Linked DNA regions of Danio rerio. The protein of the gene in region 2 interacts with the protein of the main gene of each other region in a pairwise test. Links are inferred from orthologs where the notes say so. Each region holds a gene or a part of one and is shown on either strand. Other genes may lie near its edges.

What was found.
Region 1: the proteins of pde4dip (region 2) and lmo4b interact in binary tests that used the Homo sapiens proteins (3 or more experiments, as listed by UniProt). The two-hybrid records come from large-scale screens. The link is inferred for Danio rerio from reciprocal best matches to the Homo sapiens genes PDE4DIP and LMO4.

What each region holds. Positions count from the first base shown.
Region 1 is NC_133181.1:28,424,020-28,428,377, reverse strand, and holds the start of lmo4b (LIM domain transcription factor LMO4b), read left to right. Parts: upstream 1-1,482; 5' UTR 1,483-1,853; intron 1,854-4,123; 5' UTR 4,124-4,128; coding exon 4,129-4,358. UniProt on the Homo sapiens protein: Transcription cofactor. Plays a role in establishing motor neuron identity, in concert with MNX1, acting, at least in part, to disrupt LDB1-LHX3 complexes thereby negatively modulating interneuron genes in motor neurons.
Region 2 is NC_133195.1:37,868,430-37,872,972, forward strand, and holds the start of pde4dip (myomegalin), read left to right. Parts: upstream 1-1,510; 5' UTR 1,511-2,144; coding exon 2,145-3,308; intron 3,309-4,543. UniProt on the Homo sapiens protein: Functions as an anchor sequestering components of the cAMP-dependent pathway to Golgi and/or centrosomes.

The DNA.
Region 1 (4,358 bases), on a different chromosome or scaffold from region 2:
TCTATAGTCAGTTAAATGTCTGTTGAAGGAGCAGTATCAACAGATATCTAGCAGACAGTCTACTAATACTCAATTGGACCATCAAAATAAAGTGCTACCCAAATCATCTTTAAAAGCCTTCGGACATAAAAAATGATGTTCTTTCTTGGTGTATTTGTGACCTTTGTAAATAAATAGAATAACAGTTGTTTCATGATTTTGTGACATAATGATGTGCATGACATGTTAACCTTATTATTGAATATTTTATTTTATTTTAAAGAATTTATTAAGGTTATGCTAAGTCTCAAAGCTAAATCTTAGAAAAGGCGACCAACAAATCTATAGTTTTAGTTCTCATTTATACCAGGGGATGGCGCCACTGTTATAAGAACATGAGCGTGACTTCTGTAGTGGTGTAGTGAATTTTCACTTTGTCCATGAAACCAAATAGACTTTTATATAGTTAACACAGCCCTCAGTCAATCTAATATGAAATAGATGAAATATGTATATGGGAACACTTAAACACTGGAATACTTACTAATAGCATGAAACTTCCACAATCAGTTTTGTAGATATGGAGCAGAAGTTCTCCAGATGAAGGATTTGCTCTGCAGACATTCTTTCAATGTCAAAGGAAAGGTAGAATAATTCATATCTGCACAAAAAAAAAAAAAAAAACATATATATATATATATATATATATATATATATATATATATATATATATATATATATATATATATATATATATATATATATATATATATATTATTGTTGTTGTTATTATTATTTTTATTATTATTTTATTATTATTATTATTTTAATACCACATTAGTATTAAGTAAACTAATAACTGTAAAACTAAATATTTTAAGTATATTTTAGTTGAAGAGTCATGTAAAATTTATAATCATATTTAATCAAATAAATTAACTACATTTGATTACAAATATATAAAGACAAATACATAAATATATAAGTAAAAATGAAAACCAATTAATAATGTAATATAACAGAGACTAAAAGTAACAGAAAATACAATAAATATATCTAAACTTTTTCTTAACATGCAAGACAATATTCAGGGAGCTGTGATTTTATGCAGATGTGAAAACTGTCAACTCCTTTAAATAATAAATATTATGAATGTACGGTTCTTGTTGGTCTTATGCTGTAAATGAGGAATTAATTCCGTATAAAATGTTTTTTTATTTAAAAATGTTTCATTTTGGGGACCCCTTGTGCGCTTACCGAGGCCCCATAGTGGGACCCGGTCCCGACGGTTGAACACCTCTGCCCTGTCCAACCTCAACAAGCAGACAGCCACTCTCAACCGCAATCTTTCCTTCTTTGAACAGTGTGTGTCGAAGTCAACCTCGCCTTCTTTTGATTGGCTGTATTCCTCATTCCGCTTGAATGGAGTGCGTCATGATTGGCCACAGCCTGATTGACGTCATCCTGCGAGAGGAGGTTTACTCTGGGTTTTTTTCTGTCACTGACACATGTAGAGCACAAGCGACAAGCAGCGGCGAGACATCAGCGCGCGAGAGAGGACAGTTACAAACACAAGCGCTCTCTTCATCTATGGAAATTACCGAAGACCTTGCCGACAGCTCCATCAACAAACCCGCCGCCGAGCTTTTCAGTGATAATAAGAGCATCTGAGAAAAAAGGTGACGGCAACAGTGGAAATATAATCTGAAAACTCCATTTGCTTGACTCTTTCGCAGCAGCGAGAAGTGTTCATCCACGCGCTGCTCCGTCTGTGAGTTTGTTGGACTGTGCGCGTTATTTTTTATATATTTTCTACAGAGAAAACAGACTGCTGTACATTTCTCACCACCATTCAACCATTACATTTCAAAGAGGTAAGTGCACTTCTCTTCAACTAACCGTATTTTGCTTTATGAATGGTAATATTTCGTAGTTTGACGAGACACGTTTGTTACGGAGCGACAGAATTGATGTTGCAGAAAAACACTACACACGAAAGCATAAAAGATTACAGTTACTTAATGACTAGATTTTATGTATTGTGCTTGTGTGCAAATTGTGTTGCATGTCACGCACTTATACCGTAATAATGTACGTTAGTGAATTAAACATGAGCGATGCGCGTTGTTTCATAAGAAGACCACATAGGTTATTTAGACGTAATCTTGGAAATTGCTGGCATTTCGAGTTTAATATCTTATTAGTGCATCTTAAGTGCGCGCGTGCTGTACAGATGGTCAACAAACCATAACACAAGTGCAATTCTGTCCATGTTGCATTGTGCATTCTGGCAGGAGCAGCTGTATTTAGTCTCCAGCACCGCGATCTGTATTACTGGCCATGGGCTGCTGATCTGTTTTATATTTCTGCACATCCCCTCTCTTAAATTGCCTGTCCGTGTAATTACTTGAGTTTGCCCATTTGACTTAAAAGCCACCCCCTCCCTCTCTTCAAATCTCCCCTCTTCCCTCTTCCAGGGAATGAAACTTGACGATGGTCCGATCTTATTTATCTGGGGGAGTCACTTTCGGTCTCTGATTCATCTCCCTTTAGATTTAATCAGCACTAAGGTATTGCTTGTCCCTAAGAGCCTCCACTAATGGGGTTACTGAATGCCTCTCTCTCTCTCTTTCTCTCTCAGTGCAATGTTTTCTACCCCCCGCCTCTCTCTTCTCCTCTAATTACCTTTCAACAAAGATTTGGCTTACAGCCTTTCACGAATATATCTTAAATTTTAATCTTTCCCACTTCGGTCCAGCAGCCCTCCTTATGAAACCTGGGAAACATTGCACACACACAGTACTGATGGATCAACAGAGCAAAGCACAGAACTGCAATCGTAAATGAGGGTTTGTGGTTAATGTGATTTCTGTCAGAGGCAGATATTTCTGTAGGCCGGCATTAACTGATTTCTTGCATATGCAGAATGATCCAACATAGTAGGGGTAATTTCACGCAGCAGTGACCAGTCCCCAAAGCGAATGCTGCTGAATGTTCTTCATGATGTTGGCTGGAAATCCGTCATCTGATAACCTTAGTGAAAGCAATTGGAATATGTCGACCTCTGAATGGGTCGTACAACTTTAAGGCTTCCTCAATTAACTTCTCCAGTTCTGGCAACAGTAGCATTTGGATTCCTCTCTCTCTTTCTCTCTCTCTCATGAAGGTTCAGGAAAATGTACTTTTAAAGCAATGCAGACAACCTAACAAAAGCCAGTGCTTCTAATTGTTCCAGTGACTTTAATGTTATCAGTGAACAGACATTTATCACAAATGGACCAAAGGAGCTGACTTCAGCACTTAGATAAAGATCAAGGACAGCCTGCCACTTTAAACAATTCTCAGACTTGCTTGAAGGCATTATATGCATTTAAATTATTTCAAAAGAGCTTTTAGGAAGCGTGCCTCCCAAAACATTCAGTGTTTTAGGTCACTGTTCAGGCTCCAGGTGTTTTAGATATTTCTAAGACAAAACTTCTGTCAGAAGTTGAGGAAACTTAGGTGTGCTTGCTTTGTGAGATGTGGATTTAAGTAATGCTGAATGCTTTTATAGTTACTTTTCTTTCTTTTTTTAACTGTGTGCAAATATATATATATATATATATATATATATATATATATATATATATATATATATATATATATATATATACTTTTGAAGTCAAAATTATTAGCCCTCCTGTTTATTTTTCCCCAATTTCTGTTTAAGTAGAGGATTTTTTCAACACATTTCTAAACATTTGTTTAGAAGTTTGTTCTGTAGATTTTTAAAGAAAAAAATAGCTTAAAGGAGCTAATAATATTGACCTTAAAATAAAAAAAAAATAAAAATCAAAAACTGCTTTCATTCTAGCTGAAATAAAACAAATAAGACTTTCTCCAAAAGAAAAAAAATATTATCAGACACACTGTGAAAATTTCCTTGCTCTGTTAAACATCATTTAGGAAAATAAATAAATAAATAAATAAAATAGGGGCTACTAATTTTAATTTCAACTGTTTGTCATTTGTTGAAAGGGCTTTTGATTTGTATTTAGCTACAAAACTAGAATATAAAATAGTACTCTTGCACACGCATTTAAAAACTGCTTAACTCTTGACTTACTGCTCCAGTGTTTCTCCCTGTCTCTTTATGTTTCTGCAGACACAATGGTGAACCCTGGAGGAAGTGCCCAGCCCCCACCTGTTGGAGCGGGATCTCTGTCGTGGAAGCGCTGCGCGGGCTGTGGGGGAAAGATTGCTGATCGGTTTCTCCTCTATGCCATGGACAGCTATTGGCACAGCCGCTGTCTGAAATGTTCCTGCTGCCAGGCCCAGCTTGGAGAGATCGGCACATCCTGCTACACCAAGAGTGGCATGATCCTATGTAGAAACGACTA
Region 2 (4,543 bases):
AGAAAGAGAGAAAAAAACGTACAATTCTTCAGAAAATAGAAAAAAAAGGACTGGATCCCTAATTTTCTCACATTTCGCAGAGTTCCCAGAAGTGGTATATTTAATTCTTTCCAAATGTGGAGGTAAGTCCAAGAAACCAATCAGAAAAAGAAGCCTAACATTTTTCTTCCAGAAACAAGAGACTTTTTTTTTTGCTGTGATCATGCCATACTGAACTGGTAACTGTACATTTCGGTTGAGAGTCTTCAGAAAATCTGAGCAGCCAAAAATTGCTACCATTGGGGCAGAGAGTAAAACACAAAGGTAAACTTTAGCAAAGAACTGAAATATTTCTTCAAAGTGATTTTTGCCGTGAATTTAGAGCTCAAAATAAACAATTACATCACGCTGTACACTGAATAATTATGAAAACTTGCAGTTAATCTTACCGTCTCTCCACAATTCCTTGTCGTCACTGTGACTGGCTGACGCAAACAATGAGAAAATGCTACATTTGCCTGATTAGAACAAATAGGTTTTTGATTGAGGCAAGTTTGTGTTTTGGTGTTCTGTCAAGGCTCTGTAAATTATAGAGACATTCAAAAGACAAATCCACTACACAAACTACCAGAACATGCAGATGTCGCTATAAAAACTGACATCATTTAGTTATTTCTTGCTTTAATCAGTAGAATCTGTATTACCTGATAAGAGATGGATCTGACTGTCTTCATAATGTGGGCGTTGATAGCAAATCTGTGTTTTTAAAACTTTGTAAATTATCTGTTGACATTCTTTATTGCTGTCATTTACAATCAGTGCTGAACTACAGTAATTAATAGACCCATTGCAATTACTTATGTATTATTATCAATGTTGATGCTAATGTAAACAAATATTCAAGTTTAACCATGAATATTAGGTCTAATAACAAATCTGTGTGTTTCACACTTTGTAAATTATCAGTTGACAGTCTTTACTGCTGTCATTTACAATCAATGCTGAACCATATTAATTAATGTTCTTATTACAATAACACATGTATTATTATCAATGTTGATATTAATGTAAACAAATATTTATGTTTAACCATGAATATTAATCTGTGATATACTTAACTGGTTTAGTTCAAGTATTTTCTAGCAATCTATAAAGTTAGATTAACAAACAAGCTGTTATTATTAGATTGAAACAAGAAAGAAGCCATGTAAATAAATCACTTTCCCAGCCGCACTTTCTTTGACGAAAATGGAAATAAGTATGTAAAGTAGTGTCATCTTTCGCTTGGCTTGTTCCCATTGTTTGACCGGTACCACTGCACACAGCGAGGGGTGATCGGATAATTTATAAAAACTCCGTTTACGAGCAATGACTGATACAGTTGCGATTTATGGCGTATCCCTAATATCGATGTGTGTTCAGGAGTCAACCGCCGTTCCTGCGCATTAAATTTGTATTATATCTTGTACAAACTGGTATTTTGACACCCCTCTTTGTTCTGGAAATAGTACGCGCCATTTTGTCTCTCTCTCTCTTTTCTTGCCACATCGTCCGCTGCTCAGCTGTGTGTACATTATACACACAAACTGCTGTCAAACCTTCTAGTGTGACGACCCGGGGATAGAATATGATATTATTTCCGTTTATACTCCGGGGTAATGGCGGTTATATAAAATGACACGTTTTTCAAACTGGAGTCGGACGGTGGGATTTAACTGATGTCCTGTCATGTCGGCGTCTTCACAGAAGAGCGAATGAAACGTAATCGGGAACGCGCGGGTGATGGACAAAACACGCGTCTTCATCTCTTCTGACGAGGACGAGCATCTCGACATCAAATTCGAGTTTTGTTTGCTGCTGTAAATCTGCCTAAAGAATGACCTCAGTGACATAATTAAGGACGTTTAATATTACAAGACAGAGGGTTGAATGGAATGAATTAAAGGCCTTATCTCATCTGTGATAAACAACCTGACTTAAAATTATAGTATCTTTAAATCAATAAATAGTAGTACATTTTAAAACCATAGATGTCTTCCTTTTCATTGGTGGACATTAAGGAAGAATTGAAAAGAAGGAACTTTACATGCCATGAGATTTTATTTCACTTTCACTCATGGTTTAAATTTGAAACAATCTTTAGTTTGTTATTCAATTGAATATTTATGATGTTGGACTCAAAGAGTAAGGACGTGTGTCGGATTTGTGCAAGGGAGCTGTATGGTAACCAGCGGCGATGGATCTTTCACCCAACTGCCAAGCTGAGTCTGCAGGTGCTGCTTTCCTATGCTTTGGGCAGAGAAATGACCCGGGATGGCCGAGGAGAGTTCGCCTGCAGCAAGTGTGCCTTCATGCTGGACAGAATGTACCGATTTGACACTGTGATCGCCAGGGTGGAGGCCTTATCCCTGGAGCGGATGCAGAAGCTCTTGTTGGAGAAAGACAGGCTCAGGCAATGCATCAGTGGACTGTACCGCAAAAACAACACTGATGAATTGGGAGTGGATGGAGGTGCCACAGACGCTACTGTGGTGGACTTTGCCAGGTTGGCCGAAGCTGAATACAGTGCCCTCCTGCAGGAAGATCTCACATACTCTGTCTATGAGTCTTGGGCTGAGCAGTGCCCTCAAGAGCAGATTCAAGACCACCAATGCCCTCTTCACCATGCAGATGCCGCTTCAGGTCCACGTCCCAGGAAGTGTAAAGGCTGCGCTGCATTGCGAGTGACCGATTCAGATTATGAGGCTGTCTGCAAGGTTCCCAGAAAAGTAGGTCGGAGCACTTCCTGTGGGCCCTCCACACGGTACTCTGGTAGTGTTCAGGACAACACTGAAGAGACTGTCCCATCCGCTCCTCCACCAGAACCCATCGAGAACAACCAATCATGTGAACTAAAGCCAGTCGGAGTGAGTCCTGCCTCCTCTGTGGAGTCTTTGGACACTGCTGTAGATGTTACCCAAGAATCTTATCTAAAGCTCCCACTTCTAGAGTCTGAGGAGGAACAATCTGTTGTCAGAAGGCCCGAGTCCAAACCTGGTTCTGTGTGTGGCCTTGATGTGGCCCTAAGCCTGCTTAAAAGCTGTGAATATCACCCTCTCCAGAGCCAGAGAGGAAGCCGGATCCCTGTGCTCCTCAAAACTAATACTACACCCATGGAAAGCCCTTACCCTCTGCTGCAAGTGCCTCACATTGAGATGGAGTGTCCACTTTTCCCCCAGCTTCCAGATGTGCCTTCCAGCATTCAGCAGGAGCTTCAGCTGGAGCTGGCAGAAATGGAAGACCAGTGGTTGGATGATTATGTGCAGTGCAAGCCATCAGGCCTTCCGAAGGTACATAAAAGAACCAGAGGATTGTCAGAAAAACGTTCATTACTGAGGAAAGGGAGGAATCATTAATGGTTGTTTGAAACAAATTTCTGCGGACTACATGAAGAATTAGGGAAGATGAATTTATAGAGCACAAATTAGATGAGAGGATGAAAAACTCCCCCGGGCACTTTTCTGTCCCAGAGCTCTTCAGTTCTCTGACTGCTTTTGATTACTAGGTTACTCATCATCCTCTTAGCAACTCTTTCATTGCAGCTGATGTTGTTAGCAACAGTGCATCATTCTAAAAGCTAATTCCAAAAGGATCCTTATTTTTTTGCTTGTCTAATGAATACATGCGAGACAGTATATGCACAAGTTTGAGGTCAGTTAGGTATGCTTTTAACTACATATATATCTTTTTTTAGCTAGGACATGTTAAATTAATCAAAGGTGACTGTCAAGACAATTATAAGGTTACAAAACATTTGTTAACAACAACAAAAAAAAAAACAGAGTTTTGGCTCTGTCACACTTTATAGTCTAGAACATACAGTTGAGGTCAGAATTATTAGCCCCCTGTTAATTTTTTTTCCCCAATTTCTGTTTAACAGAGAGCAGATTTTTTTTTCAACACATTTCTAGACATAATAGTTTTAATACCTCATTTCTAACAACTGATTTATTTTGTCTTCGCCATGATGACAGTAAATAATATTTCACTAGATATATTTCAAGACTAGTATTCACCTTAAAGAGCAATTTAAAGGTTTAACTAGGTTAATTAGGCAGGATAGAATAATTAGGCAAATCGTTATATAACGATTGTTTATTCTGTCGACATAAAAAAAGACTTACACACACACACACACACACACACACACACACACACACACACACACACACACATATATATATATATATATATATATATATATATATATATATATATATATATATATATATATATATATATATATATATATATATTTGCTTTTAAAAAGCTAAAAACTGCTTTTATTTTAGCTGAAATAAAACAAATAAGACTTTCTCCAGAAGAAAAAAGTATTGTCAGAAATACTGTGAAAACTTTACATAATTTGGGAAATATTTAAAATAAGAGAAAAAAAATAAATACAACTTATACACATACACATCTTTTTCAGCTTAATTTAACCCATCAAAAGGCAAATTCTGTTCAAATGAGCCCATGTCATGACAGATAAAGAGACAGGTAGAGCGAGTAATCTGACCCATAG